3 linked regions of the Caenorhabditis elegans genome follow. The protein of the gene in region 1 interacts with the protein of each later gene in a pairwise test. Each region holds a gene or a part of one and is shown on either strand. Other genes may lie near its edges. The genes, in order: add-1, selt-1.1 and R05G6.10.

Region 1 (13,212 bases):
TGTCGTTATTGAATAGAAACTCACAATATGAATCTGTAGTTTGCAATGAAACAATTGTGACGTGTTATAAAAAATCATATGAAAAGAGATTACGAAAATTGAGAAAAAAGGAAGTACAAAAAAACAAAAATGTTACTCAAAATATACTAAATCCGCATCCAGATTACATAGAAGTTCATTGATGTAAAAGTTTTACAACTCATTCACTCACTCAGAATCTACAGACTTCTGACATAAAATTAAAACAACAAAAAACGGCAAAGTGAACATTCTCCAGTTTCGAATATACGCCAAATAGCTAATTCATCAAATTTGGAGCGCACATTGGTAAGTGTTTGAAAAGATGCGGCATTTGCTCTGGGGGATTGCCGCGACTTCACGACACCGATTTGTCATCTGGAGTCAACTGGCATTATCTGCTGCTTTGGTGGTATACTTGTTGCTTTTACGAGCACGTCAATGTGTTACATGCTCATAAATTAGAGATTTTCTACAATCATTATTGCCAGCAACAAGTTCCGTTGTTCCAAAAAAATTGTGTTGTCTTAAGAGGAGGGGCCCTTCTTGTGTCTTCTCCGAGATTCGTGCCTCTTTTTGTCTTTTAGTTCTGCAGAGACTAACTGCGTACTTTAAAGCGACCAATTCCGTACTACTAGAAGATTGCTCTAATTCCATTAGGCTACATCTTTCAAACTGCCGCATCTGGGTCACCGTTACTTTTCCCCACTTTTCTCCCAATTTTTCCAACAAATCCGTTTTGAGCACTCAATCTCGAGTTTATCGTGTTTTGATGACTGTTAGACGCGTAAACGCGTAACACATTTCCAATGGGCATCAGCGTTTTTTTCTTCTTCTGAACAACTTGATAGATTGTTGCGTATTCTATCTTCACCCGTCAGCTGAAATGCCGTTTTTTTCGGAGTGCCTTTTTTCGGTAAGACCTTGTTGCTCCACATTTTTTTCACGCGTAAGGGACTTTTCTCGCTCGTTGTGCATGAATTTTTGTCTCGTTGCCCTCCCATCCTCTCCACTCTTCCCCCTGCTTTAAAGATTTGGCCCTTGTTCTTCAAAATTTTCTGCAAGCAAAAAAAGATAGAAGGAATATTTTTCTGGTCCCCTCCTCGCACCCCTCCATGCTTATTGGCTTTAGCCAACAGGATCATATTTCTAAACGCAATTATCTACTTTCAAAACGATCTCATGGCATCTAACTGAAAGTGTGGTTGTGGTGTTGCTTCTTTTATTTCTATCTATCTTATAGTTTTTGTTTCATTAGAAAAGTACACTAATCGTTACTTACTTCTGTTAAATAACTCAATAATTGGCGTCTTACCATTCCTTCGTTCAATTAGTACTGCATGCAAGCTTTAAATATATTTTTGTAAATTTGAATTTTTCTTTCTTTCATTTCTGCAAGAATTTCCAGCACTTTCAAATAAAGAAAATGTAAAGCAAAACAAAACACGAAAATTTCGAAAACTTTATCTCAACACAACAAAAGTGCATGCAGAAACTTCTAAATTTCGGAAACGTTCATTCTGAGAAACAATTTTTGAGAAAGTCTCAAAATAGGAAGAGTGACTAAATTGTATGGTCCGACATTTACCTGGTTCCCTAGACTAGTTTTGCAGGGTTAACACAGTGCGGCGCGGGGCCCGGTAGATGTCGGACCAGACATATCTTTCACACTTCCAGTTTTATGGTTTTCTATAGAAAAAAAAAGTCCCTCGGGTATGTCTTTAATTTTGGAGTTTATGCAAACATGAAATGCATATTTCTGTTTTATTTAGGAACATATAACATTTCAAACATCTCAAAAATAAAGTACCGTATATTCTCTATTAGTGCTGCAAGCAGCACTAATTTCCAGGCCCTTTTTGAGTGCAGCACTATTAGAGACTGCGGTACTAATTTTCGAACGACTTTTTTCAATTGGAGATCACTAGTTTTTAGTCACAAATGCTCATCTTTTAAGCAGAAATCCATTAAAATTGAGAAATTTTGTAACAAAAATGACCCAATAATTCAATTATGTTTGTAAATTAACTAGAAATCTTCAAAAATATACAAAAAAAACACTCCCCAAAATGTCAAAACTATTGAGTGACTCTTTCAGTAGAAAATGGGGTGCAGCACTAATAGAGACTGCAGTACTACTGGAGATGCAGCACTAATAGAGAATATACGGTAACAAGGTGTAATAATGTTTGCGGAAATGTAGTAATTCCAGAGTTCGCCTCAAAAGCACTTTTTCATTGAAACTTCGAAGCTATCATTCTCTGATCACAAAGATTTAAAAATATTTACAACCACAAACTGTAAGATTCTTTGTTGCCGGATCCATGTTTCGCCAATGTTATTGTTGGACGATCTAATTATTCAAACGCACTCTCTCCGACCGCCTTGGGTTCTTTAAACGAAATGCAAATTCGAGTGCGTGTAAGATAGACCATCGGGCGGCTGGTGCATGGTCTGACAAATGTTCTATTCCATGCCTCCCATTTCACACTTCAACTCATTATTTGTGTGTGTTGTCGGTCGCTACGAAATGCTCCAAATGGCACTATCTAGATGACAACTGATAGCACATCTTGTGTACTGCTCCTCTTTTTTGCAGAATAGTTTTGTTCCGAAAAAGTTTGCCTGTTCATATTCTTCCACTTCTCGCTTTCCAAACTCTCTTCTTCTCAATACGTTTTATTCTCTCTTTGCCTTACGGGCACATCAAATTTTTATGACAACTGTTTCGAGCAACGAGTATTGTACAGTAACGCAGCGAGTTTATCGATTCTTTTTCTCAGCGTTCTCTGACTTCCTATTTGATTATTTGGTTTTCCACGCAAAACTGAATTCAAAAATCATATCACTGTTGTTGAGCTTTTGTTTTGAATAGCAAACAGTTTAGCTTTCGAAATTCGGTGTTTTCAATGAACCGTAAGGCGTGTTTCGTCTTTTCTCCAAGCCAAAAGATACACAACAAATGAACACTGCCTTTTTGAGTCTCCAGAAACCGATAGACAACCTTGATTTGAATAAAGATTCTGTTTCGCTCAATTGACAGCAGCGATCTTTTTTCAATTCTTTCGTTTTTCTCACTTTCTATTTACTTCCCTAACTTTTCTCAATAAAAGTCTCCAAGAAGGGTAATTGATTCAAGGTGAGGAAAAAGGGCGAGAGATACATGTTTTGTTTTCCTGTTTTCTCCACTTGTTCTTTTTATCAGATCTATTTAATCAAAAAGGTTAAAACAAATAGTTTGTTTTACTATCGTCACCATAGGTGTGTGTGCGTGTGTGTTTGATATAAGATTTAATCGCAATTCGGCATGTTTCTTCTATTGTTGCCGCATTGGTTAAACACCAGTTTGGGGTTTTTTTGGAAGAGTATTTCAAGTTTCTGAAAGTTAAAGCATTTCAAATTTCAGACTAAGAATTTTACAGTAAGTGGTATTATAAATAATTGCATTGACCGCAAATTATTGAAAAAGCTTAGAATTTTTAAATAGAAATATTGTTTCAGCATTTCGTAGTAGTGCTGCAATATTATCTTATCGGAATAATTAATCTGAAAAGTTCAAACCGATTTTTAAATTTTGACAAATTTATTTTGAGTTATAAAACTCTGTTTGCGGAAAAATGGTTACTTTCCCAAAAAGTAATGAAATCTCACAAAACTAATTGGCCTAGCTCAATTCGAAAATTTCCACTTCCATTTTGCTTCACCGTTCTTTTTCATTTGAGCCACCCTACTTGTGCACCACTCGGACAAGTGCATTCTATTTATTCCATTTTCTTTTCATTGTGATTAACCATCCTGAATAAAATGTCTTGGGTTTTCTGCTCGGCGCCTCTTTCTATCTTTCTCCAAAATAGAGTACATGTAGACTTGAGTTTCTTTTCGGTCTTCCTTTTCTTCCCTCATTCCTTAAATTAGATTTGACATAAGAAGAACTTTATCGCAACAGGCGGATACCTTAAGGTTCTCATTCTTGTTTGCCGTTTATCGCTTCCATCGCAGACAAAAGTAGTGTGTTGGAGAATTTGACTGACGCAAAAACCACAAACATTTTAGGGTCAAATTCACATTTCCAATTAATATTTTTCAATATTACCGTTTGCCATGCTTCATAGGTAATTAGATGTATACACTTTCTCATGGCAAGTGTGCCACCCGTAGAGCAAATGTTATATAACGCAGGAGGTATGCAATAACCAAATTTTGTATACAAATCAGATGGCTCGCCATCGAATAGTCTCACGCTGAATGAACTATTTTTCGATCAATTCATGCTTTTTAGTACAGCTTTGTGTAAGCTGTGTGCTAGTAGAAATGTCAAATTATTTTCATGAAATTGTATACATCCGATTTAGCATATCTTAAAAAATCCTTATTTGTAAATACAGTTTCCGATAACTTGTGAACCCTTTTTTACTTAATTTGATATTTCAATCTTTAGTAAGTTCAACTGTTAACACCTTTATAACAGTTTTTCATCTTGAAAAAATGTCTAAAAATTTGACAAACAGAAATTTAACGTTAAAAGACCAATAATGAAACAGGAAAACAAGACAATATCAAAAGTAGGCCATCCATTTGCGCGGGAATTTAAACATAATTCAGAAAATCATCGCACATTTAGAATAATTTTATTATTTTTATTTTTAAATTCATATTTGTACACTACATCCCATTTTCATATTTGCAAAGTAATGTTTACTTTTCTAAACTTTGTGATTTTTTCTTGAATTTCAATATTTCAATCTCATTTTCAATTTTCTTAAACTTCAATAAAGTTTCAGATGATTGGAAGAAAAGAGAAGGAACGGGAACGTCCATACTATCGAGACCCAGATGACCCTGAATATATCAAAGATTTGCAAAGACCGGCAGTAATCAAAGTAAGTGCTGCTCCAAGTTTTTCCGTAAAAAAAACTAGAGCACATCAAGTTTTCCCTCCTCAGCTCTCTTTTTTCTCTTTTTCCAAGAACTTCAATTAATGAAACCTGCCATTATTAGCGCAGTGTCATTTTTTGAAAAGACTTGGGAAATTGAATGGAAAATGCAAGAGAAGAAGAGAAAGGAGTGCTCGCTCTTTAATCAGCTTAAAAGATGGATGAGAAATGCTCTATTTTAGGAGGATTTGTCAGAGATGGAGAGACGGAAAAGAGTGCAACAGATACTTGAATCAAAATCATTCTGCCACGAGCTAGAAGAAGTTATTCGTCAGGTTTGTAATTTGTCTTTTTTCTCGTTATTTTGTTTCAATAAATGTAATTTTGTACAAAACATTTTACATCTAGGAGTGTGATACAGCACGTACGGATCCGGATCACTTGCAAGTACTCCAGAAACTTTCGGACCTCACAGTTCCACAAGGAAACATGTCGTTTGGCAACCTTCACACATATGGTTTGTATTATATTTTGGAATAATGTATTCGAAAAACGGATAACTTGGTTTTTTTTCCTTATTTTGACAAAAGAAACTCGATTTATGCTTATTCACACGAGGAGTTACAACATGTTATAATGCAGAAAACTTTCCTATACGAATTTTAGCTATGCTGAAACCTTGTGACACAAAAGTAGATATACTTTTTTTGTTTTTCTAGTAAAGTATTATAATATCAAAAATCTAAGATTCCCATGCATAAACAAAATTGCAATATTTTTACAAACTTGAACTTCTGTAAGTTGACAATTTCCGATAAATCATGTAATCTATGTTTCAGGTGGAAACACCATTGCAATTGCTGATCTTCGTGGAAACGAGAAGTATTCAAAAGCGGAACGTATCCAGAGAAACAAATTGGCATGCTTGTTTCGACTAGCTGACCTGTTCCAGTGGTCACAAGGGATTCATAACGAAATCTCGGTAGGGTGCTTGAAGTATTGACTTTTTAAAATTACCACAAAAATTTAAAACTTGAACCTGTGGTTTAAAGTAAAATTTTGCAATCAACCAAATTTATTTTACAATATAGCAAATACAACGCGTGTAGAAATTGTATGAATTTCAACTTTATTAAAATACGAAACTTCTGAAACAGCTGCCAAAATGTAAGGATTAATCAGCTTTAAATTGGGATTTTTTTTGTTCAGTGTTGTGTTCCGGTTACACACCACTTTATTTTCCGACGTGAGTTAACTAGCAGGTCCATTAACGACGTGTTTAAAAAAATGTATTAAAATTATATTTCTATGAAACTTCTACAAAAGTAAAAACACCATATTTACCTTTCTAGAAGAATTTTAACAAAATTGATTTAGTATCGAACCAACGATGAGGATAACACTTTTCTGATGAATCCATTTGGTCTTCTCTACCATGAAATCACTGCTGCGACCATCGTGAAGATAGATGAAAATGGAAAAATTCTGGATTGCGGGACACTGAAAGCTGGAGTCAACCAGGTACCTTTAAAATCAAAAACGACTTATTTTTGCACTCATCAAGTTAAGCCTGCGTTTCTTCTTCATTCTGCAATTTACAAAGCTCACCCAATGGTCAGATGCATTCTTCATATGCACACGGCAATTGTGGCGGCTGTGGCTAGTATGAAATGTGGTTTATTGCCTCTATGTAAGGAAGCAATGGTGCTTGGGCCAGTTGGATATCACGATTATCAGGTTAGCAAAAATATTGAATTTGAAGAAAAACAATCACTTGTGTGGTTATTTTCATAATCTGAAAAATTTAAGTGTGAACGAGAGAAAATTGAAAATCTGAAGGTTAAAGAAACTAGAAGCAAAATCGGCAACCGTTTTTTAAAATTATTTTTTGATGATTTTTTTCCAGTCAAAGTTTTGGTACTTTGCCAAAATTTGAAAAAGTTTATCATGTAAATCGGTAGTTTTAGTACTTAAAGTAGATATAGAAAAGTTCATCGTCGACCTTCGAACGGTTTAAATTTTCATTAACCTTTCACATGACTTTAACTATAAAATCAAAAAAATTGTTGAATTTTCTTTTCAGGACATTGGTGATGATGATATTCAATTTGACGAAATTATTGCAAATCTTGGAGACAAAAACGTGCGTTAGCTTTACTTTGAACTGCTTTTCTATCCGCTTTTCTATGCTTCGTTTCAGGTCCTTTTCCTCCGCAATCAAGGATTCCTTGTTGTCGGTGACACTATCGAGCATGCCACTTTTCTAGCCAACAACACTGTGATAGCATGCGAAACTCAGGTTTTTGAAGTTTCTCATATTTAAAAATTACACGCTGCCCTGCCGCCAGTAGTTCAATTCTATCGCCAAATGCTTATTTTTTATGAAATGACGATGGGATTAAAACATTTAAGGTTCTGCTGATCAGAGGAGAAGGATGTTTTGTTGTTGGAAATTCCGTTGAAGAGACATCTATAATTATGCGCAACTTAGTCACTGCTTGTGACCATCAGGTTTAGAAAAGTTATAATAAATGAGAAATATTATTTCATATCAAATACAAAATACATAATCAAAGTTTCCAAAAACAAAATATTTTTGTAAGGTACGTGCCGCAAGGGCTGGACTTGACAACCTCATCATTCCGGAAGAGAAAGCAATACAAAGAGCGTTCAGAAATTCTCGAAATAGTAAGATTCTGCAATATATATTGAAATTTAAAATACATCTATAATGCTTTTGTAGCGAATTCCCTGAAACGAAATGGAACAGTTGATTGGAGAGTCGGAGAATTAGAATGGGAGTCTTGGATGAGAGTGTTGGATCATGCGGTGAGCAGAATTTTTTCGCCCTGCTCACAGTTGTTTCACTAAAAATTGCTACTAATTATAGAATTTTCAAACCGGGCACGTCTATCGTCAACCACAACTGCGGCCCAAATCTGCAATGTCTACGTCAATGGTGAACAACAATGATGTTGCTGTTCCGCCAACTACATCAGCTTATGGACAAATTGATGAAACAAACTTGGAAAGTGTATCTGCACATCGTCTGGCTTTACTGCGCAAGGAGCAGGAGCGGGTTCGTTGGATGAACAGTCCAAATGCATATCAGAAGGTTGAATTTTTGGAGTATGGAGCAGATAACCCAAAGAAGATAACTAAAGTAAGAACTGTTTTCAACTTTTGCAGTACGAAAATAAAATTTGTACATGAACTTCTGATGGTTTGTGTCATTATGTTTACACAGTTATTTTCATATAAATGTACAAAAAAATTTGAAGAAACATTAAATTAAAAACTATAAACAGAGATTTGAAAACCCAAATAGCTATGATATGGGTGGGCCCTACTAGTGAATTTTTGTTTTGGATAATTTCTATGTCACTAATTTTTGGATTGTTGTCATTATGCACATTATGAATACATGTTATGCTAACGCAATAAAAAAATGTATTTTTCAATATTGGAGTAGTGTCAGAAAATGTTCAAAATTGCTCCAATACCAACTATCGATTCAGGCTGTGCCTAATTGTGTTTTGAAAATTTTGATCCGCAATAAAAATATGTATTAAAGTTTTTTGAGAAGTCTCATTATAAAATTCGGTCGCATTTGGTTATTGAGTTCAAATTAAACATCTATGATAAATCATTGGAGAAAAAATTAATTTTAAAGTGTTTTAAATTTACACAAGTTCAAATCATTTCAGTGGGTTCATGACGTCAACGTTCCATCCGCGAGTGGAACCCCTGTCAAAATCAGCAGTGTTCATCAATTCAGTCCTGCGTCTTCAAATCCTAAAGAATTTAAAGAAAAACAAAAAGCTATCAAAGAAAACAACAGACTGGGAACTCTTTCTGCTGGACCACAAAGCCAGATTTTGGACAGTGTGACATATGAAGACATTGCACTATTGATTAAAGTGAAATATCCCGTCTTGAAAATTCATTTATTATTTTGTAATCTTTCAGCCTGATAATGACGGAACAGTCGGACAGAGCTCGACCGCTGACCGAGCAATACTTATCGGAACTGCCAGCAAGGGAATCATTGATAGGCAATTTCAGCATCATGCTCAGGTGTACCACCAAATCTATGCGCCGAATCCATTCTCTGTAGAAACTGATGCAGACATCAAGAAATATGTAGACATGGTGAAGGCCAAGAACTCGCAAAGCGCTCCTGTCTCAGCGAGAAGTGGTTACTCTCAATACGATGAGGTTGAAGCTGGTAAGGTAGCTGAAACAAAAAAACAGCAATTTTTAAAGTCGTTTTTGAAAACGAAAACTGAAATTCCTTTATTTAAAACGTAATAAAATAAAATAAACACTGCAAAAAATCCATGTTGTGTTGCGAGTTTTTAACTGAAAATCTGGGGTTCAAAACACTTGTGGGATGCCACTTGTTTTGAGTATGTTCTTTTTGGCTCCACTTACAAAATATATTTTTGAAAATATATTGCTGACAAAGGTCTAAAAATAGCTTCTCTAGTTGTAACCAGCCGATTTTCAAAAATTATTCCAGATACAGTTTCCTTAATGCAAGGAGTACGAGAACATAAACTTTCTCAAGCGGCTCTGAGCGCATCTGACGACGGCCTGAATGCCGGAATCTCCCCGAATAATGGTAATTTTTATGTGGTTGCTCCTTCACATTTTATCGATGCGCCTGTTTTCTATCGCTTTGTTTTCCAGTGTTTTAAATTATTTGAATGCCTATTTTCCATATTTCCAGTCCGAACTTCCGAAGAAAGCGTCAATACGTCGTACATGAGCCAGTCAGTTGTGTTCGATTGTAGGTTTATTTTCCTTATTCTTTCTGTGTAGCATGTGTGTGGTGGCTTCAAAGCTTTTTATAACTTTCACAGATTTTCTAACTCTTTGTGTACAGGCGATCACCCTTCTCCGATGTCAATTTCGACAGAGTACCCTGAAAAAGTTAAAATGACGCGATTTTCGTCGACTCAAGGAACAAGTGAAGGTATATTTGTAACTACGTGGTGTCTATTTGTGTTTTCACTTTTTTTTCGAGCGCATCAGCTAACTAATCAATAACTGAGTTGTAACATTTAGGCAATACAACGTCTCGATCGTGCACTACAGCGTCTGAAGAAGAAGTAAGAATTTTTGGAAGCAAATAGTTTTTCAAATGTTTCAAACTTAAAAAAGAATGAGGTTTCTTGCCATAAATAACAGAAAAACTATAAAGTAATATATTAAATTTTTAATAATGTTTTTTTTCAAATTAGAAGTTTTTTTTTGATATTTTAACAATTTCTGAAAAATTTTAAAAAAATTCAATGAAAAAATTAAACTTTTTACAGTTGTATTCTCTATATATAAACTGTTTTCTGTTATTTTGGGCAAAACCCCACTGACTCTACTCTACCTTCAAATAAGATTGAAATATTTGCTAACTTCTCTGCTTTTGGGACTAATCAAGCACTTATTTTACACCGTTTTTTATTTCAGAAGCCTACAAAAGATGAGAAAAAGAAGAAAAAGAAAGGATTTTTGTCATTTATGCGAAAAAAGGACAAATGAAAAATGAGAGTTTTGCTCTCACCTTGCTCTCACCAACACGTTCACATCACTTAACTCTAACACTTTTCGATAACTTTTTCTATGTTTTCTTTTCAATTTTCAGATCCGGATATACTACGCCCAATTTACCGTCAAGAAACATATGTCTAGTCTCTGGACTTTTCTTTCTTTCCCGTGAACTTTCAATTCCGGTTATGGATAATAGCAACACTCTGTGCTTTGTCTTTTGTTTTTCGAATATTTTTAAAATGTCATTTTGTACGCATATTTTTTTTATATTATGTATTTGCATTTCCATCAAGTTTTTTATACTTTCATCTATAAATAATTATATTATATTACAAAAAAAAGCCAGGACAGAGAAGAATTCGGCAAAGTGACTACGAAAATAGCTTTTCTCAACGAATTTAGCAGATTAAAAAAGTTATCCAGTTTATTTTTGGTTGTTGCTATAAAACTCAAAGTGCTCGTTTTCCAGACACTTTCCTTGGAATATATGATAGTTTTTACACACGTTAGATTATCGATTTCCACACCAACTCTAGTTTCAGCAAATTTCTTCGGGTAATCAAATTAACTTTCCTGTAAAAGTCTGAAAATTCGATAAATTATGCTACAAAACAGGCTTTTAAATATTTTTAATGAATGAATTTAGCCGGAAAAATGTTACAGCTAGATCATTTTGTGCAGGAAAAAAAATAAGTTCAGTCTTCTTCTATTTTTTTCTTTGCACAATTGAAAAACATTATTTTGATCATTGTATGACTTTTTACAGTTATGTTTGGAACATTGTGATTATTTACTGTCATTTAGGGTAAAAACCGCCTAGACATATTCTGTAGAATTGCAGAAAAAAATGCACAGCGCTCTTGGCCACTATTTGGCACAACGAATCTTACACATTTTGATTTTTAAATTGTTTGTTCTTGTAGAAATAACAAGTTTTAGTTTCAAAGTTTGATTTTTTGAATTAATGAAAATACTAATTTACGGATAATTTTATGGTAACAAACATGACACTGCACCATGCTGATAACAATATTTGCCTTCATAACCCTTCCGACAAACTAACGTCTGCCCATTGAGTGTCGCCTCATTCGACGGCAAATTGCCATTAATACATTCTCTGTTGTGTTGTTTAGACTATCCATCTGCGTCTCTTCCATCGCAGCGTTGTCTCGCAAGTGGTCGTGGCCGCGGCCGAAGATACGACTCGAAGATAAAAGAGTTGGACACTCTTTGTGTTTCAAACCTTATATTCTAATGTGTTTCTTTTAGTTTTATTCACTAAACTTCAATTTTTTGCTAGCCAGAATTTCCTTTTCAGTTGTGTGACAATGACTGATCCTGACATTGGATTTGATGACATTTTTAAAGAAATATGTCCAAATGAGTGAGTTATTTCATGGTTTGAAGTAGAAAATGAGTTATTTTACCTGTTTAGAAACGTTTATTTTGTTTCAGATTCAACGAATTCGGATTGAAACGTGAGATGCGTTTTATCAGTGAACGTATCATTGTTGAATATGACCCAACGGACCATTTGTCGGTGAGTTAACGAAAAATAATGACATGGAAGAAAATCAATACCTAATCTTTTTGTAGGTTCGCGAAATCATGCATCCGATGGACGCGTTTCGTAGCAGTGAACCATATTTTAAACATAAACTGACTGACAAATCGAAACAGGAATTTGTGACTGCAATCGACTTTCACGAACATATCACTTATTTTCCATATTCCAAAAATACCGGTGACATTTGCCTTGCCCGGTATATTAGTAATTTTAACGATATCAACTTGTGAGTCCGGAATCGAACGTTTGTCAACTTATCATCAATTTTACAGCACCAAAATCAGTGGTCAAAACCTTTGCTCATTGCCTGGTGAAACCATCTACGGGTTACGTGTTGGACGACTCGACAAAGGAATGCTTGCTGTAAATCATAGAACAGATTCTTCTGTGTAAGTTGCATTCAAATATGTGCGATTCGAGCAAGGGTAGAATTGAAAAAAAATCAGCTATTAGTCGAAAAGAAACGGCATAAGTTATGTCTTCCCTAAGGCTTTCATATAGGCGCCAAGACGCCTGCCTGCCTGTTTTTAAAGCAACGTTTGCCGACATCGCGCCTACCCGAGCCTGATGCTAATACACACGAACTTTTTTCAAAACTTTCTTAATGTGATTTTCATCAACATTTATTAAAATTATTCAATCAAAAACTTGAGCATAGACACCAAAGTGCAGGAAAAAGGCGGCAGGTAGGCATTAGGGTGCCTGCCTATCATGAAAGCACCCTATTTTCGATTTACAGCTATTCATATTCCAAAAATCGTGATAAAAGGACGTCAGTGGCATTTTTTATAATTATTATATAAAAACATTTTTACGTTATCCTAAGAAGTCTGAATGTTACACGCGATAAATTCCAAACACAATCAAACATATTTTCAAATCAAATTAGCATAAAACATCACGCTTACACAATTTTGTTTGCATTTAAATTGAAAAAAAAAACTACATGAGTTATGTTTCAAAAAACCCGCGAAAACATTTTCGGAAATAAAAAAATGAGAGAGGGGGGAGGCAGTGAGAGTGATTGTTATGGAGACAGTTAGCCTAGAAATGGAAGGAGCCCCCGCGGGTCTCACCACGACATTGGCGTGATTGCGTAAGAGATGATTATGTTTGAATATTACTCTAAATAAAAACATTGAATAGTAATTTTCAGAAATAGCACAGTAACCGTCATTGATCTTGTGAAACCAGCACGGAATA
Region 2 (9,243 bases), 6.7 Mb from region 1:
AAGAGAAAACTGAACAAGATGTAGTTTTATTTGTTCAACACTTGGGAAAAACTGAAATAAAAATTACAGTTGTTAGATGAAAAGAAAATACCTACCATTCCCATGCTCCCAATTACATATGCCACAGCACAAATATTATTTGAGAATATGAAAGGCGATGCAGTGAATGCAGATTTTCAAGGTTTCAAAGTGAAACTGTATATTTGTACAATACCAGCGTTTACATTTAGGAAAGTTAAATGTTACATATCGTTATGGACCTGGCTTGATAAACAATCAGAAACTTCGTGTTACCGTTCATGCTGAAAACGAAGAACGGTCAGTTATAGTTGTAGAATTGATAAGTAGATTGCGTTTGAATTTTAGAAAAATTCAAAATATAATGGGATATATCAAAGGAAGTCAGGAACCGGACAAGTTTGTTCTAGTGAGCAATCATTATGATGCTTGGACTTATGGGGCTGTTGATCCAAACAGTGGAACATCTACGCTTTTAGAAGTTTCCAGAGCGTTGAAACAATATCAAAATCAAACCGGCTGGATACCAGGTATTTTAAAAATGTTTCATCGCATCATTTCACTTGCTTTATTTGAGAAAAAATATGAACTAGAAACTCAGGCGATGTGAACAGACATGGTTTTTTAAGAGATATAATGTACATGAAACAGGGTGAGGATAAAATATGAATGATGTATAAAAACTTGTTGAGACATTGAAATAGCTTACTTTTTCTTTTTATTCAGAGAAGTAGAAACAATATATAATAAATTTTTAGCGCGATCAATTCTGTTCGCTCATTGGGATGCCGAGGAATATGGTCTGATAGGATCCACTGAGTTTGCGGAAGAATACCGTCTTCAATTAATGAGAAGAGCAGTTGCAGTTATTAATATGGATCTTATTGGTGGCAACCAGACTTTGTTAGCTCCGAGTATTGACTGAGTGGAAATTAAGATTTTGCAGACTTGGGTTATCGAATCCTACCGTCGCCAATGTTCTCCGGTCTGCAGCGGCAAATGTTGAGCAGCCAAATCCGACAGAAATGGAACAAGGGAGAAAAACACTATACGATTCCTGGTAATAAAAAATTTTGAATTGCATAACTAATAGTTTTAAGGAAATACTATGCGCCATCAAAGAACAATCGATCAACCCATCCTTATCAAAGAATCCCCGCTGGTGGAAGTGATCATCTTCCATTTTTTGATTATCTTGGTACGTTAGTTCATAAAACGACACATCGAAATCATTTACTATTGTTTAACTTACAGGAATCCCAATTGTCTTTTTCATCACTTCATCCCTAGATGCACCTCCAACTTATCCACTGTATCATACAATTTATGAAACACCATATCTGATTGAAAATATTATGGATCCTGGCTACAAGGTACAATGCAGTTTGAGACATTCATTGTAGGCTAAATATATCATTGCCGTTGTTGATAAACAAATTTTTGATTTTAAACAAAAAATTACAGGTTCATAAAGCCATTGCCGGGATGTTTATAGAATGCATTTTGAAGTTTACCGAGAGTAAAATCCTTCCTTATGAGTAAGAAAAATGTGTTTTGCAGCACTGAACATGTTGAAAATTTCAGTCTGAATGAACTTATGGATGACTCGATCTTTGAATATTTGCCAAAACTAGAAGATCGTCTAAATAAAACGTTAATGATTGGAACTAAGACTGATTATTTGCTGGATGCACAGAAACAGTTCAAACTGTTACAAAAAACAGTTTTGGTTTGTTTGAAATGCTTCCCAAACCAAACAAATATTATTTCAGGAACTTTCTGAGATCGTACAAAGAAGAAATGTCTCGAAACTTGAAGAGCTACCATTCGGCAGTAGAGTGGACATAAATAATCGGCTTATCGAGTAATGCAAATTGGAAAATAATTTTCGATTTTCAAAACTTTCAGATTTGAAAAATGTTTTATAAACCCACATGGGGCAATTGGAAATCCTCAAGCTCGACATGTATTGTTTCATCCAAGCCCTGATAATTGGTATGATGGAGATGCAATTTCACAAGTTCACGATTTGATATCAAAAATTAGCAATTCGACAGACAGCAAGGAGTTGGGAAAATTGTCGAGACAACTAGCAAAAGAAATTGCTCTAGTTAATGTTGCTTACATATGTGCCAAACATTCCCTCGGCGAATTTTTCACAATGTGATCACGTTTGATAGACTCTCAGAGTAATAATTATTTAAATGTCAACTTTTTAAAGTGTAAGGTGGAGTAGTGCAAGTGGGGAAAGTGTTTAAATGGTGAAAATGACCAAAAATAATTGCAAAACATTACAACAAAATTTTGGAATGTTTTTATTTACTGCAAAAAAATGATACCTACTCAGTTTTTGCCAGTGCGACATAAGTCTGGATTTGCTTGAAAGCTTACAGTTACAGAAATTTTTTAAAAACTCTTGAATTTTGGAGTGTTTTATTGCGATATTCAGACAAAATCCCCACTGGCGATGTTTACTATTTAACCAATAAATGTATTTTGAATACAGTAACGTTGAGAAAACTTGACATTAAAAAAACTCACAGAAAATTTCGAATTAGTTTTTCATTTGACCCGTTCGAATGTACATTCGTTCAAATTTCAACCAACACATTCCAACGGAAGTTTGATGCCTGTTCAAAAATCATGGACAGATTATTTTTTTAATCAGGAACGAGAGCATGTCGAACACATCTAACGCCGAAAACTAGTTTTTATCAGGAACTTCTGAATTAAATCCCTAAAATAATGTATTCTTACGAATAAATAATGAAACTATTTTTTAAACTCGTCGACTTTGCCAGTAATATTTGCATTTTATCAAAGCATATAAATATAACCTGGTAAACGAATCACTTTTCTATGATATAACGTTTTTCAAAAATCGAACATGAAAAAAGGATTACAAATATTCGGCGTTGTATTACTTCTAGCAGCGACAGTTGTTGTAACTGTACTCATTTCAAATTATGTACATCAGCTTTCAATGTCGAGTGGGACACCTACAATACAAAATACAGGTAAATTGAAGAGAGAAAAAAGTTTCCTATGGTTCTATCTGACTGCAAATGATTTATGAGACCACTTTGAAAAGTTTTTGAAGAGTTAATTGTATAGTATTTCAGTTTCAATCGCAAATAATATCAGACAGCTTATTAACACTGACAAAATTCGCTCCAATCTTCATTCGCTCACTAAAAAAGCTCATGTGGCCGGAACAGAAAACAACTTGCGAGTGGCTGAAATTATTCGAGATCAAATGATCTCTCAAGGTCTCGAAAATGTTCATTTTAACGAGTATAATGTGTTGCTATCATACCCTGATTGGACGACTCCCAACATTGTTGAAATACTCGAAGAAAATGGAGATGTATTTTATAAAACTACGGGACGGAGCATATCTATTATTGAAGAAGAACAGAATGATTTGGTTTCTGAAATACAATGGCTTGCATATTCGGCTGATGGAACAGTTGAAGGAGATATTGTTTATGTCAACAAAGGTACTCCAAAGGATATCGAGCATATAGAATCGTTGGGGATAGATCTGAAGGTTTATTCCTAGTATAAAAAGTATTAATACAGCAGAAAACTTTTTAGGACAAAATTGTTCTCGCTAGATACAGTTCTAACTTCCGTGGTAACATAGCTCAAATGGCCGTCAAAAAAGGAGCAAAAGCATGTCTTCTCTACTCAGACCCTATGCAAGTAGCAAGTCTTGGAACCGGACCAAGTGAGTTTTTCAAAATAATACAAGCAAACTTCAATCCGTTTTTTGTAATAGATAGTACATATGGAAGAACAGATAAGATGCCATCACATGCCGTTCAAAGAGGCACATGCTATGTTCAATCAGGAGACCCCAGATTGCCGGCATTCCCTTCTATAAAAAATCTCTTCAAAGAAAAATCAGAGCAAGAGGTTTTACAGATATTTAAATTATAAAAACGTAGTATTTTTCCAGTTGTTGGATGGAAAAAAGATCCCAACTATTCACTACTTCCAATTCCATATAGCGCAGCGCAAATTTTATTCGAAAAAATGAAAGGAGACGCCGTCATTGCAGATTTTCAAGGTTGTTTGAAATCTACATTTCCACCGAAATTACAAGTTACTTTTTTAGGAAAACTTGACGTCACATACCGATATGGTCCGGGACTGATAAATAATCAGAAACTTAGAGTAACTGTGCACGCTAAAAATGAGGAACGGTTTGTTTTTTATTAACTGGGCAGTTTTCGGATTTTATTTTAATCCTTAGAAAAATTCAAAACGTTCTTGGATATATAAAGGGAAGCCAAGAGCCGGATAAGTTTGTGCTAGTGGGAAATCATTATGATGCTTGGACGTACGGAGCAGTAGATCCAAACAGTGTCACATCGACCCTCTTGGAAGTAACCAGAGCATTAAAAGCATATCAAAATCTTACAGGATGGAGACCAGGTATTTTCAAACACTAAACAAGTTATGTATAATAGGATTTCGAATCACTTCCGTTATTAGAAAACATTTCAATATGTACACCCACGTGTTTAATATTATAACAGTTACTTTCACTCTTGTCCTGAAAATGGGTTTTTTAACGAGATCAATTCTGTTCGCTCATTGGGATGCTGAGGAATATGGTCTGATTGGGTCCACAGAGTTTGCAGAGGAGCATCGTACTCAGTTAATGAGAAGAGCTGTTGCATATATAAATACGGATATGATTGGAGGAAACCAGTCATTGTAAGTAGTGAAGTTAAAAAAGTATAATCTGAAACTTTGCTTTATCAGACTTGCTATGGCTAATCCTACAGTTGTTAATGTTCTTCGTGCAGCTGCAGCAAAAATTTCACATCCAAATCCGTTAGAAATAGAAAACGGAAGAGAGACACTATATGATTCTTGGTAGTAAAAAGTATGAAGAACAAACAATTATAATTGAATTCAGGAAAACATTTCTCCCTCACAAAACAATAATTCCTCACATCCATTTTACCAGCTTCCAGCAGGTGGCAGTGATCATTTGTCTTTCTTTAATTATTTGGGTTAGATTTTCAAAAAACCGAAATTTACAGAAAAACTAGTTCATGCAGGTATTCCGATGGTTTTCTTTGTCACATCATCATTGGACAGCCCGCCTGTTTATCCCCTCATATCATACAATTTACGAAACACCCTATTTGATAGACAATATTCTTGATCCAGAGTACAAGGCAATAAAATCCCAGAGTAAACCTCGACAATTATCATTTTTCAGATGCATAAAGCTATGGGCGAGATGTTAATTGAGTGCATTTTAAACTTTTCGGAAAGCAGAATTCTTCCTTATGAGTAAGCACTGCAATTTGCGTTTTCTACCAAGTAGAAATAATTTCAGCTTAAAAGAGTTAATGGACAGAGTTCTTGATGAGTATTTCCCGAGAATACAACAACACATTAATAAGGCTCAGACTTTTGAAAACATTTCTGAGTACTTGACTGAGCCCCAGAAACAGTTTGAACTGTTAGAAAAGACAGCAAAGGTATGCATGCTTATGAAAACTTCAATTTTCACATATTAGATTTTTCAGATTTGAAAAATGTTTCATAAACCCGCATGGTATCCTTGGAGATCCGCAGAGTCGTCATGTGCTCTTCCGCCCGAGTGCGGACAACTGGTATCGTGGAAACGCAATCTCTCAAGTACACAGCTTGATATCAAAAATGGAAACTTCAGTAGACGACGAAGAACTCTTAAAATATTCTAAGCAATTATCCAAGGAGATTGCTTTTGTAAATGTTGCATTCATTTGCGCGAAACATTCCTTAAACGAATTTTTTACTTTGTGATTTGTTTTTAAATAAACAAAACTAATACTCTAGTAAAAAATATTATTTCTGAAAAATTTCAAATGAAAAAACTGGTTTCAAAAATTTGATTCCTTAATGGTAAATAATTATTTAAAAAAAAACAAAACGTAACATTATTTGAATAGAAAATCATTAGAGGTGAAATAAAAGTGGCGAGAATTTTTATGACTGCAAATAATTTACACACGTTGAGAAACAAATAAAAAGTTAATTTAACTTAATAAAATAAGGCGTCGGATGACGAGTGAGGGAATGAATCAGTTTGAGCAGCAAGAATACATTGTAAATAATTATGGTAACACGGTGTCAAATTGAAAACATAGCGTTTTAGACAGTCTGTTGGAACTCTCCAAATGATTCTGTGTTGACAGGAGCTTTTCCGAGCACCGCAAGTTGAGCATCGATAAGTTGCATGAATTCCTGAGGGGATGGTACACGACCTGACTCGATTTTACTCCAGATTTGTTCATTGCCAAGGTAAACTTCGAATGCTCCAGTAGAAATGAGACTTTGTTCAACAAGGTTGCCGAGCATGAACACCAGCATACAGGACGACATCTTGTTTCCGTGTGCGTGCTGCAGAATCTGTGGGTATCCAAGACCAAATCTCTCAAATGGATTTATTCCACCTAGCACCAGCACGAGAACTGCCATTTTGACGAAACTGAGAGCCTAAAAATACATTTTATAAATAATCCAAGTCACTTCAAATTGAACAGTACCTGAGCAACATAAGCTTTCCAAAGAACCGGTGCAAAGTTGGCTCCTTCAATTGGCATATTTGGATACTTTTCTTTGGCAAAAGTGGTGAACTGGTCGAAAGCTTGCTTATAACCACATGAAACACTGAAAAATTATGCATAATTTCTAGTAGAACCTATATATGTATAAATATTACCAGTAGAAAATTCTCAATGTTGGAAGATCCTTGGCGTGGTGGACGGCTGTAGGCTTAACAAATGAGGATTGCTCCCGGACTTCAATATGATCTTCTTCGGTTCCTTGACTGAAAAAATTAAGTTTTGTAGCACTTGTTTGAAAAATTTCAGTTAACCTGTTGGAAACTAATTATCATGAACTTAGAAATTTTATTGAGCACCTTAGAAAGCTTGAAAAATTGAAAACGGTCATGCGTTAGATTTTCACTTTTTTGAAAATAAAATTGATTTTAATTTCACAATTCGACCTTTAAAAAAATAATACCTGAAGCTTTGTGAATCTGTTTCGTCTCCAAATTCTGCTTCAAAATCGTCCTTTTCATGTACGTGGTTCTCATCGTGTGAATGCTCTTCCGCTGAAACAGCTACTTGGGTTGTTTATTTCATTTATGATGTGTCACAACTTACTTCTCAGCACATCACAAACTGACATAAAGAAGAGAACTCCTATGATAAATACCCCAAACCGTGACATCTGAAAAATCAATAATGGCAAAAAAAACATCAAAACACTATAGAGAAGGAAATGAAATTTTTCATCATCTTTTTTGCAACAAAAAAAATTAGATAAAAATGTCAGAGAAGAACACATTTGATGAAGTGTTTTACACTAGAAAAAGCAAAGAAAGCGGACGCGCAGGAGAGTATGATATGACAGAAACACCCTCTCGACACACAAGCGGACAACACAGGGTATTCCAAACGAGCGCGCAGCACCAAGACCACTGCGGAGTCTCAGCGATCAATACTTGACTCGCCCGTAGCAAACGCGCCCCATCACTCGCCAGTGTCTGATGCCTCCGCGCCTCACACACTCTCTCGTTCTCTTTGAACGGTTCTCGGTGTGTGTATGCGTGTGTGTTTGGAGGACGTTGAGTCACCTCATATTCGCACACTCGCATAACCTTTAATTTTATGTGCACAGTCTTCTCTTTCCTTGTTTCTCATTTTAACTCGTTTTTTATTGTTCATTGGATATGATATGGGAGGAGTTGTTTTGATGTGATCAATACGCTACGTTATAGAATTAGTTTCTTTTTGAGATTCTTAATGGATTCTTGGTTTCCGTGAAGGTCAAACAGTCAAACACAAGAAATCGGTTTCCGAGAAAGTGAACTTTGTTGTCGTGCAATTGCAATATCTTATTGAGACTTTTTTACAATGAGTTAATTTCTTATTTTGGTACTTGTGTATTACATACTTTCATTTTAAAATTAATGAAAATGCTCATTGATTTCTCCGTTTAAATTGAACGTGATGTGGAATTTTCCTCGTTTGGCTCAGAAATGCTTATTTTCTAATTGTAAGCTTTAAAATATAAAAAAATTTCCACACTTTTTTATTTTTACAACTTAAAAATTACTTTAAAAATGAGTGCATGTAATACACAAGCAGTGTTTGCAAGTTTAAACTTCCTTTCAAAAAAAAATATGTATATCTTAATAAATGTTTTTCACCCCCAGTGTCTTAGAAAAATGTAATTGACCATTTCTCAAATCTAATGACAAACATCTTGCTTTTGCAATTCATCGTGGATTCTCATTATTTTTGAAAAGCATCTATCTTCTTTTCGTGCTAGCATCTCAATCTCAAAAAGTTACACCACCAACAATACGCATCTCACATTTGCCGAGGTGGAGTGGTGACAAACTAATTGAATCGCATCCGGATTCTTCCACTTCTCACTCCTGAAGGAAAACAAAAAAAAAAGGAACTTGCCCTTCTCATCCATCTTTTCCCCCAACCTAACCCATCTCACCTCAAATGCATTAGTTTTATGGGCTTTTACGACAGATATCAATGACTTGAAGAAGGAGGGGGAGTCACTACGTGTGTATGTGTATGTGTGTGGATGGCCTTTAGACACTAACATCCTCAGATGTTCTAAATTAACCGTCCGTACACTTTGCAATTTCTGGGGTCAGTGCCCACGACGCGTTTCCTCTGGCTCCACAATGACTCATCCGCAGATGTGTGAGGTCTCCCTTTCTCCGAGGTTTTCGTTTTTCAAATGCTCATTTGCATTCAAAACGATTCGTTCTTCACATTTTTCTTTCAATTCTCCAAATTTTCGGTTTTTGTTCCACGCTTTGTCATGTTTCTCTTTCATCACTTTGTTCGCTACCCATTTTAGGATTCTTTCCCCATTATTTTCTATTCTGCGTTTGTATTGTTCTAATGGCTTCATGCCACGTCACGCAACAACATCGTATTTTGCAATGACCCTGGAAAGGGCCTGCTTGGCATGACAGTATTCGGGTGCCAGCAACACCTGTTATCGAAACACTCATTATTTCAACCGATGCCCCCATGAGTCATGGGTATGAAAACGCCCTCTTCTTGAGTATTTCGTTTTGCTTTTTTTAACTTGTCTTCAGAAATACGTTCACCATTAGTGTTATTTCCTAAATTTTCGATTTAAATTTTGTTTCAATTTAGTTAGATTTTTTTTTGC
Region 3 (10,345 bases), on another chromosome or scaffold:
TTTCATTTGTGATATCCTTCTCTTTCTTTCAATTTAGTTGTGTCAAAAATTCATTTTATTAATAAAACTTTTCAGAATGGCGGCCTGTGGAAACCCAAGCGCGGCGGTCAAATTTGAGAGGCTTCCAACATTCGCCGAACCAACTCATTACAACGTCCGTTTATCGCCATGCCTCAACCAGTAAGTTCTGTAATAATATTTCAGTTTAGCTAGGACGGCAGTAATAAATGTTGATATGTAGTTTAAATTTGCAACAAAACCACTTCAAGTTCTAATTCTTGTTTTTCAGATTCTCTTTCGATGGTCATGCAACGATTGACGTCACAATCAAAGAAGCTACTGATGTCTTGAAGGTGCATGCACAGAGTTTGCTGATTCAGTCGGTATCGCTTATCACTCAGCCAGGAGACGCTTCTAAATCTCTCGAAACTAGCTACGACGATAAGCTCAATATTTTGACTATCAAGCTTCCGACTACCATGCAGCCACAGAAGGTTCAGCTCGACTTCAAGTTTGTCGGTGAACTGAACGATAAGATGCGAGGATTTTATCGCAGTCAGTACAAGGATAAGAACGGCACCGAAAAGTTCTTGGCTTCAACTCAGTTTGAGTCGACTTATGCTCGCTATGCATTCCCATGTTTCGATGAGCCAATTTACAAGGCAACTTTCGACGTTACTTTGGAAGTAGAAAATCATCTGACCGCTCTCTCCAATATGAATGTAATCTCCGAAACACCGACTGCTGATGGAAAGAGAAAGGCAGTTACATTTGCAACTTCACCAAAGATGTCATCGTATCTCGTCGCTTTCGCCGTTGGTGAGCTGGAATATATCAGTGCACAAACGAAAAGCGGAGTTGAGATGCGTGTGTATACTGTACCTGGAAAGAAAGAACAAGGTCAATACAGTTTGGATCTTTCTGTGAAGTGAGTTATCTTAAAGAATAATTTTAGCTGAATTTTCAGTAATAATTCAAATGAAGTTTCAATTTCTAATTTTCAGGTGCATTGACTGGTACAATGAGTGGTTCGACATCAAATACCCTCTTCCAAAATGTGACCTGATTGCTATTCCGGACTTCTCAATGGGTGCGATGGAGAACTGGGGACTTGTCACGTATCGTGAAATCGCTCTTCTTGTTGATCCAGGAGTCACGTCCACCAGACAAAAGTCTAGAGTTGCTTTAGTCGTTGCTCACGAGTTGGCTCATTTATGGTTCGGAAATCTTGTGACTATGGTAGGGAATTTTCAACTAATAAACATATATATTCATTCTTTTCAGAAATGGTGGACTGATCTTTGGCTTAAAGAAGGATTTGCATCATTCATGGAATACATGTTCGTTGGCGCTAACTGTCCAGAGTTCAAGATCTGGCTTCATTTCCTGAATGATGAACTCGCGTCTGGAATGGGACTTGATGCACTTCGAAACTCTCATCCAATCGAAGTTGAAATTGATAATCCGAATGAGCTTGATGAGATTTACGATTCGATCACTTACGCCAAATCCAATTCAGTCAACCGCATGCTCTGCTATTATCTATCGGAGCCAGTTTTTCAAAAAGGACTTCGCCTCTATTTGAAGAGATTCCAATATTCGAATGCAGTTACTCAAGATTTGTGGACCGCACTGAGCGAGGCTTCAGGACAAAACGTGAATGAATTGATGTCCGGTTGGACCCAACAAATGGGATTCCCTGTGCTGAAGGTCTCCCAGAGACAAGATGGTAACAATCGCATTTTGACCGTGGAGCAACGTCGATTCATTTCCGATGGAGGTGAAGACCCGAAAAATAGCCAGTGGCAAGTGCCAATTACAGTTGCTGTCGGAAGTTCTCCAAGTGATGTGAAAGCCAGATTTTTGCTAAAGGAGAAGCAGCAAGAATTCACGATTGAAGGTGTCGCTCCAGGAGAATGGGTGAAGCTCAACTCTGGAACAACTGGATTCTACCGAGTCGAATATTCGGATGAAATGCTAACTGCAATGCTGCCCGATATCGCTTCTCGCCGAATGCCAGTACTCGATCGATTCGGATTGATTAATGATCTCTCTGCTCTTCTCAATACCGGACGTGTTTCCATCGCACAGTTTGTTCAAGTCGCAGCTTCTTCCGCAAAAGAAGATGAATATGTTGTCTGGGGAGCTATCGATGAAGGAATGAGCAAGCTCTTGGCTTGTGCTCGTGAAATGTCCGAAGACACTTTGAAGAGGTTTGATATTAGCGATTCAAAATTAATTGACAGTATATTATTTCAGTGCTAAACAACTCGTCGTTAAGATGTTCGAGCAGACTGGGGCAGAGCTCGGATTCGCAGAACAAGCTGGAGAAGACTCGCAGAAAATGATGTTGAGATCGCTTGTTCAAGCACGACTCGCCCGTGCAGGTCATCAACCAACAATTGACAAGTTCACTCAGATGTTCAATGATTTCCTGGAGAAAGGAACGCCAATTCATCCAGACATTCGGCTAGCCACTTTCGGTGTTGTTGCTCGGTATGGAGGAAAGGAAGGATTCGATAAGCTAATGAATCTCCGTGAAACTACCACATTCCAAGAGATCGAAAGACAAACCATGGTAGCAATGTCTCAAACTCCGGAGGAGTCACTTCTTGCCCAACTTTTCGAATATGGATTTGAGAAGAACAAGGTCCGTCCACAAGATCAGCTGTATCTCTTCCTCGGAACTGGAGCGACTCATATGGGACAGCAATACGCGTGGAAATATTTCTGCGAGCACATTAAAGAGTTCCTCGACAAATACGGAGGTGCCAACTCGAGTCTCTTCCAGCGATGCCTCAAGTTTGCTGGAGAAAGTTTTGGAAACGAAAAACGAGCTGTCGAGTTTCAAGATTTCTTCTGCAATTGCAATGTTCTCAGCGATACGGATCGCCAGACTTTGGCCAGACCCATCGGACAGGTATTTATTTTTTCAAGTTTAATTGTTCAAAAAGCATAAATTTCAGACCGTCGAAGCTATCCGTTTGAACGCTCGCCTGCTCGAATCCAACCGCCAAATCATTGAAAATCTTCTTAAACAGAGCAACGTTTAATTTATTAGACCTCAATCTTTCTATTCATATTCCACTGGTTTTATCAGATTTCAGACCCGTTTTTATTTATTTTTCCCCCCTCTCGTCAATTTTGCTTATGGCACAATACTATGTATTGTTTTATTTTTCAAATGAAATAAACTGCTGCTGATGCGTAAAGGAGAGAAGTGTGTAGTTTTAGAATGAGAAGAGCACTTGGTTAAATTGAAGTGCTGAATTTTTCAATAGCTGGCACCATCCGATGTGGCCACGAAAGAATTATGCATTTGGAAGAAGGTTCCATCAGTTAGAGTTGACGATTGTGAAGGTCATCAGTACAATTTACTACCTCTTTTCTTTGGAAACTATTTTTTTTTCTTAAATTGGAAAAAAGTGGGTCGCAAATATAATCGAGACTATTTTTTAAAACTCGAATAACAAGTCTCCCAAGAGAAACGAAACATTTTAGAAATCTCATGAGCTCGTAATTCGAGTTGTGTGTTGTCATTTTTGGGTGGTGAAAGCAGAGGATGACACCCTTTCACTGGCCTTACTGAGATTGGCTCGATGAGCATTTCCTGTCGCATTTCTAAAGTCTCGTGGGAGAACTGACGACGAAAAAAGAGAGAAGACCACCAGTTGCCGAATATAGCTGCACTTTTATATACTTTTTTGATACATTAGATGTTTTTGTAGATCATACGAATTTACTTTAATAATCAAACAACTTTTTGGATAATACAGAATGTATAAACTTTTGGGAACTTTTGTGTACAAGTGCCGGGAAAATTCGAAAAATCAACTCACATCCCAGCTTTCAAAATTAAAGTTTTCAAAATATAAGACCAATGGGGATTTTATTTCAAAAAGAACCACAATTGACTACATTTCCAACTTTCTGTCGTACATTAACCTCTTTATTTTTTCGTCTACTTTCAGACTCATATTGTCAATTTTCTGACACACACTGTTAAAGTTTCTATTGAACATTGAATTCTTTCCAATTTTAGACGCAAACTGTGAATTCGCTAACAAGTATTGTCAACATTCTGCCGCACATCGAATTTTTCTTCAACTCCTGTCGCACACTAATTAAATATTAGAATGAAATCATACGAATTCAGAAATTATTGAAGGTTCATCATTCTCAAAACACCAATGATACATGATGACAAACAACTCAAAGGGGTTTCGTACTAAAATGGAAAGATAGGGAGAAAAAGAAGCATACATATTTCCACCAAGAAATCACCAACACCCTTGTTTGTTGCCAAAATAGTTTTTGAAATAAGAAGAATAATTTGACCACCATGTTCCCCACTTTCCCATTGTTCCAAACTCTTTAAATTGAATTCGTTCGGAGTCTCATTTGAAATACGATTAGTGTACGGGATCCCCCCATCTTATCCGTCTGTCCCTTTTTCGAACTTGCTCTTCTTCTTCTTTTTTTTCTCTTTAGCTCTTTCCCTTCTATTCTTCTACTAATTGCTCCCTTTTCTGGTCATTTTGAATCTTCCGTTGTCGCCTATTTTCTGCATTGTCATTCATGTTATTTCCGGTCTATTTCGTCCTCAATTCCTCCCCCCCCAATTTTTCATCTTTTACAGATTTTTCCGCTGAATCATATGAAGTCTTCTGTCACTCAGTTTTGGCATCAGGTCAGTTATTTAATGGAGCTTTTCTACTACTCAGATCCATAATTGTGCAGTACATTAAAATTTTTTTAAAGCCAAAAAACTTCGTCTCGACAAAACTAAAAATTTTCTATGAAAGCTATCAACATGGAGTGTGCGCCTATAAAAATTGAAGTACAGTACAGTAGTTGGTTTTTTTTAATTTAAAACTTTTCGTTCGTGTTGAGATCAAATACCGTTTCCTGGCGAGATTAACTAAATGCTGATCAAATCACAAATTATTTATTTAAGAATGAAGATTTGGTGACATACAATTAAAAATGAAGAATCCCCGAAATTTTTACAAAATAATGAGAAAATGATTGCGTTTTGTTGAAATTATGATTGGAGAATATTTGAATATTTGCGCTGATTGAAATTGTTGAAGAATTTTTTGAGAAAGGCACTTTGATCTTAGATACTTTTGGGTAAATCAGAGACTATATGGATAAAAAAAGAAAGCTCCCGAGAATATATGATGACTTTCAGTTGATAAAATATACATACAAAAATCTTCTTGGCACAACTGCTTCATAAAAAGGAAAAAACGAATGATATTTGAGAAATTAACCGTGATAGGAAGGGATTTAATTATTGATTTCGTTGGCGGAATTCTTTGACAATGTGGAATAATTGAGGAAAAGCCACTCTAACCATTTGTCCAATTCCAAATACGAGAGAGATTAGACGAAGTTCGTTTTCACAGTTCGGATCCCATTGAATCTGCAATTTTTCAGAATTAATCATAAAACCATTCTGTTTTTCCTTTTTGAAGACCCTAACAGCGTTTTGTAAAACTTGAAAATTTTCTAAAATAACCAAAATCTCAAAATCAAATTAAAAGTTTGTAGAGAAGCTGGTGTGGTTTTTATATGGAAATTGCTTTGAAATACCTATTCGAAAATATTTCAAATTTTGAAGTATGTAACTGAATAGTAAATTGGTAGGATCAAAATTGGTTTCGTGTCACACTATAATGTAAAAGTTTTTGTTCTAGAGATGCAACTATATTCAAGTTAAAAAACCTACATGGTATGATCCAAAAATCTAAAAATAATTACACTCTCTTCAAATATTTGTTGCAAATATGATTAAAACAGTTAAGTGCTAAAAATGCTTTAAAAAATTCTGAATCAGCAGTAAGTAAAAGTTTAATTTAATTATTAATTTTGTAAACGGTATAATTTAATTTACTGTTTCAAGAAACATACCTTAATCTCATTCTCTGACCAAAATGAACGATTCGGTCGAACATTTGCCATAATCTTGTCTTGTGTCAGCACTGACCACGTTTCTTTGCTAAATGCACAACCACAGTTTAAAAATAAACTGCTCAATCCAGATGTCTGTGTCATAACTCGAGCCCTAAAGTTGGTAAAATTTATGAGAATAGTCATTATTAGAATCTCACCCTTTCAATTCATCAGTGTTTGTTTGAATGAGAATGGTTCCACCGAGTTCACGAAGTTCATAGACTGTCATTCCAGAAACCGGATGCTTGATTTTAAGCATGCTACTTGTGTCTTCAGTGTCGATTAACGTAATTTCACAGATTTTTTTACTGCCTTCTTGAAGAATTATCTCATCTGGATAGACACTTGCTGGAAAATTGAATTTTTTAAAATAGTTTTTATGATTATCTTCTAACCTTGCATGATTCTGTAACCTTCTTTGTTGATAATATCCAATTCGACAGGATCAAACTGTGCAGAGTTTCGAAGCACATAGTGTTCAATTGCTCCTTGTAGCTGAAAAAATTGGAATTTACTGAAGTCTTTAAAACATTTAATCTAAGGGATTTGGTTCTAATTTCCGTTGAAACTTTTCTTTTTTCTTCATCTAATTCTCTGTCATTATTCTCCATCCAGTCCCGTCCTCTTGCTTGTTCTAATATCTGGTTTTTTGCAGAACACAAAACAGAACAAATTAATTCTTTTCATTTTCTTCCAGTTTTCTATTTCATTCAACAAACCTGTGCCACATCATTCATTTTCACTCGAACTTCATCTAATTTCTGTAGAATGTGAACTGCTTCAATTTTGGTGAGTGTCGGTGCGATGGCTGTTGAGAAGCGTCTGCAACACTTTTTCCATTATTTTTGGGTGGAAAAATTGAGGAATCAGTTTTTGCAATGAAATTGGAAAAGGAGCACTTGAACAAAGAATAACGCTTTTTTTGCGCTTCTCATTTCCCCTTTCGTGCATTTTTTTGGCGGAGCCTTTCTTGGAATGAAAAATCTTTATTTCCTTTTTCGAAGATATGTAGGCAGTTTTCATTATCTAGATTTTATTTCATTTATGTATTTAAAATTGCCAAAAGTTAAAATTCTGAAGGATTTTAACTGGTTGACTTTGAATATTTTCTTGTTTTTTTTCTGTTTTATCAAAATTCGTGTTTGTTCTAAAACTTAAAGTATAGCTTCTGATAGTGAGAAAATCTTTTCAACGAATTTTGGTTTTTTCAGCATGTTTTTTCAGCACTTTTAACATTATCATTATGGTGCATTCGCGATAATATATACGTAAAATGGGTGAAACAGAGTATATTTATAAATTAAACACGATGAAATCAGATAAAAAACGCAAAACAAGTTTAGGCAATTTGCCAGGTATTTGGATAATTTAGACTTTTTGAGAAACCATAAAAATTGTCAAAGGTCTACAATCAGCACTTTGAAATGATTAACATGGCTATTTTAAAAATTTATTTATATCTAGTAGCTTTACATACCTTGCTTGTCTCGATATTTGTGCAGTAACTGAAGAAGTTCTCCGTCCAGTATTGGTCATTCCGTCCGGAGCGTTGTTCGACTTTTCAGCCGCTTTCTGATTCTTCTCCTTCTGCTTCTTCGACTCCCTTTTTGCTCTTTTTGCCTCTTTTTCAGCAGTGGTACTTGCTGTCAGATGCTTCTGTAACGAAAAATTTCTGAATAAGGACGTAAATGTATTTGATAAGTTATTTAAATTTATTCAAAGACACTGCTTTTCTCATTCATTCACATTTATGAATATCTCGATTTATGAGAACGAAGAGGCGGATGAAGGAAGTTTTTTTAATGAGAAGAGGGAGGTAAATTGAGTGTTGATACTTTTTTTAATTTAATGATAGACTAAAAAGTTGAATTAGTAATTCATTAATTTTAGGAGTAAAGATCAAATTGTCCTCTAGTGAGTGTTTGTTAGTAGCCTGATTTTATAAATATTAAGATTTGTTGTTTTCTTAAAATATAGTTCATTTGAATTTTCAGAAAATTGATTCTAAGAAGTGTGCCAGTGTCCAAAACGTTTAGGAGTACTATCATTTTTGAAATATATATATCAAAGAAAAATATAATCATTATCGTAGAATATCACTAAAAATTTATAACAAATTTCCGATAAGACTCGGAAAATTGCAAGAAGTTTACTTTCCAAATTAGTTTTTTGTGGCGTCCATAATCATTTAAGGAACAATATCATAATTGTTTAATTTTCAAAAAATAAATCAAGTAGTATATTTGAAGAAGAACATTGGTTCGAGAATGAAATCTGTTTCTTTCCGCAAAAAAGTGTGCATCAAATCGAGAAAGGAGTTATGTAAATTTGGCTAAATATCAACTGTGTATTAAACTACATACTTATAAATCCTAAGTCACGTAGAGAAATTAGGAAAATCGGTGATTTTTTCAATGTGTTCCACAAACTAGTTTTGTGAAAAGTAGTTGATTATCTAAAATCAAAAAGTGATCATTTAGAATTATAAGTAATCGAATAATTATTTCAAAGTGCCAAAGCTCTAGACGTCATAATGAAATTGTTTCTTTTTTGTAATGTTTTGTTGCAAAACATGCGAATAAAATATGACAAAAAAAGGCGAGAATCAAACGGACATTTTTCATTTTTCAAATTAAATTTGTATGCTTCTGTGTGAGTGTGTATTTTGTTGAATTGAGAGTTGTCAAATGGTGTAATGATGGGTGGAGAATTGGATCCAGAAAAGAGAGAGAAGTGCTCATTTCGATCGGAAGCTTTTCAAAAGTTCTTTTCTGGGTCACAGAACTTTGCCTTCTTAGCGTGATGATTCTCCTTCATGCCCTCACTAAATCCGGCTCGAATGGATTGAGTGGAAAAAGGAGAGGATGAGGAAGAAGTTGCGTGTGATCTCGTGTATGCTACTCCAATTGAAAATTTAAGTGAATGGTGATATTGGTAAAGAAGAAGGAGAAAAATGACGAACTTTCGTCTTTTTTTTTCTGAAATCCTCTTAAAAATCTTGTTCTCCAAAAATGGAAACTGAGCGAGATTAAGATGAAGGAAAAAAAGGATGTTTACGTTTACGAGGGTGGAATGAGAAGCAATTGGGATGGTCTCTGATTGATGAAGCAATAAGAAATAAGACAAACAAATATATTACTGTTTCCTTGATTTTTAATATAAAATAGCGAACCTTTCTTCTTTGATGTGAATTTTCAATTTGTTCACCTAACCTCAAAATTGTTGAACAATGTGACGGGATTAGATCTAATCGGAGCATAGTGACGTTGGATAGAATGCGAATAAATAGAAGATGCCAGAGAATTTCGAAATTTTGAAAATCAGCAGAATGAGGTAGAGCACGAAGATCGGATGGGATGAAATTTCAACTACTTCGACGAATATTTGATTATTTCAAAACGGAAAGTAGTTTTTTATGCAAAAAGGAGATAGTTTCTGCTGTGGAATAGTCCAAGCTTTAATACGGAATTCTACTAAACTTTAACTAATTTGAGCTGATACTAAATACTAGACTTATAAGGGTTATGACATGGCAATATGTTTCTTCAAAAACGTATACTCTAATATTTTTAACTTTAAAGTACACTTGATTTTCTCTTTTTTGCTGCACTTTCTTAATTTCAATTAAATAATTAGTTAAATCACCAAAAATGAGGACGAGGCGACTTAATGACATTAAAGGACAGTGGAGATTTAGCAATAATAATTATTATATTCCAATTTCCCAAGTTTTCCAAAAATATAATTTTGAGCACTGTTGTGGGTTCGTAGACCTATAAAGTTTGAATACGCACTATATAACTCGTGGACAACATTTTCGGTCGATTTCCAAAATTATGGTAGGTGGAAAATGACATTTCTCACCTTTTTGCGCTGTGACTGTAAAAAAACAATTAAAAAATTAAAACATATATTTGGACATTTTAGTACTATTAAAAATTCCGAACTACTTTGAAAGTTATAGAAAATGAATCGGCTCGAAGAGTTTTGCAGAAAACCGCTAGGAATTTCGTTGGTATTTTTTCGATACAACTGAAAGGTGCTCCCAAATTTTTTAAAAGGAATGTCACCTCAAATTACTTTTTCTCACCTTCTGAATTCTTTTATAAGCATCTACATCCTCTCTAAATATCTACGTAATGTTTTCAAAACTATCGTTTTGTTTTGTTTGTTTTCTAGTCTAGCCTACTATATTTCACTTTGAAATTGAAAAAAAATGGGGATGAGCAAAACTATCAAGGGTAATGAAAAGAGTAATAAAAGCATGTTGATAATGATGAAGCTTATTATTTATGACTGGACTCGAAAGCGAGTAATGTTGCGTTAATGAGGCGGAGTCGCGAACGACGAGCGAGAAATATAGAGTCAAAAAATTTTTGAAAATCTA

Evidence for each region.
Region 2: the proteins of add-1 (region 1) and selt-1.1 interact in a two-hybrid assay, tested with the Caenorhabditis elegans proteins (one large-scale study listed by BioGRID).
Region 3: the proteins of add-1 (region 1) and R05G6.10 interact in a two-hybrid assay, tested with the Caenorhabditis elegans proteins (one large-scale study listed by BioGRID).

What each region holds. Positions count from the first base shown.
Region 1 is NC_003284.9:4,851,624-4,864,835, reverse strand, and holds add-1 (Adducin-related protein 1), read left to right. Parts: upstream 1-4,792; 5' UTR 4,793-4,799; coding exon 4,800-4,898; intron 4,899-5,134; coding exon 5,135-5,227; intron 5,228-5,300; coding exon 5,301-5,409; intron 5,410-5,731; coding exon 5,732-5,874; intron 5,875-5,993; exon of another isoform or gene 5,994-6,143; intron 6,144-6,269; coding exon 6,270-6,413; intron 6,414-6,461; coding exon 6,462-6,629; intron 6,630-6,975; coding exon 6,976-7,035; intron 7,036-7,092; coding exon 7,093-7,191; intron 7,192-7,495; coding exon 7,496-7,580; intron 7,581-7,635; coding exon 7,636-7,721; intron 7,722-7,782; coding exon 7,783-8,055; intron 8,056-8,599; coding exon 8,600-8,812; intron 8,813-8,861; coding exon 8,862-9,120; intron 9,121-9,414; coding exon 9,415-9,516; intron 9,517-9,624; coding exon 9,625-9,684; intron 9,685-9,780; coding exon 9,781-9,870; coding exon of another isoform or gene 9,871-9,944; intron 9,945-9,962; coding exon 9,963-10,006; intron 10,007-10,361; coding exon 10,362-10,433; and 4 more. Other genes in the region: F39C12.1 (GATOR2 complex protein MIO zinc-ribbon like domain-containing protein), read left to right, coding at 11,771-11,826, 11,898-11,982, 12,039-12,235, 12,282-12,398, 13,166-13,212. UniProt on the Caenorhabditis elegans protein: Membrane-cytoskeleton-associated protein that promotes the assembly of the spectrin-actin network. Plays a role in time-dependent memmory loss and the retention of conditioned behavior over time.
Region 2 is NC_003284.9:11,539,233-11,548,475, forward strand, and holds selt-1.1 (Thioredoxin reductase-like selenoprotein T homolog selt-1.1), read right to left. Parts: upstream 7,264-9,243; coding exon 7,197-7,263; intron 7,154-7,196; coding exon 7,054-7,153; intron 6,857-7,053; coding exon 6,749-6,856; intron 6,697-6,748; coding exon 6,573-6,696; intron 6,523-6,572; coding exon 6,178-6,522; 3' UTR 5,859-6,177; downstream 1-5,858. Other genes in the region: gcp-2.2 (N-acetylated-alpha-linked acidic dipeptidase 2), read left to right, coding at 1-20, 70-181, 231-318, 367-548, 777-921, 965-1,078, 1,119-1,216, 1,273-1,391 and 4 more.
Region 3 is NC_003282.8:7,536,848-7,547,192, reverse strand, and holds the start of R05G6.10 (Ras-GEF domain-containing family member 1B), read left to right. Parts: upstream 1-4,657; coding exon 4,658-4,690; intron 4,691-4,932; exon of another isoform or gene 4,933-5,296; coding exon of another isoform or gene 5,297-5,428; intron 5,429-5,916; coding exon of another isoform or gene 5,917-6,070; intron 6,071-6,116; coding exon of another isoform or gene 6,117-6,306; intron 6,307-6,353; coding exon of another isoform or gene 6,354-6,453; intron 6,454-6,677; coding exon of another isoform or gene 6,678-6,780; intron 6,781-7,178; exon of another isoform or gene 7,179-7,199; intron 7,200-7,435; coding exon of another isoform or gene 7,436-7,494; exon of another isoform or gene 7,495-7,614; intron 7,615-8,268; exon of another isoform or gene 8,269-8,418; intron 8,419-8,705; exon of another isoform or gene 8,706-8,849; intron 8,850-10,345. Other genes in the region: pam-1 (Puromycin-sensitive aminopeptidase), read left to right, coding at 76-180, 290-928, 1,005-1,239, 1,285-2,213, 2,260-2,920, 2,967-3,053; R05G6.1 (Phospholipid scramblase), read right to left, coding at 5,297-5,428, 5,917-6,070, 6,117-6,306, 6,354-6,453, 6,678-6,780, 7,436-7,494.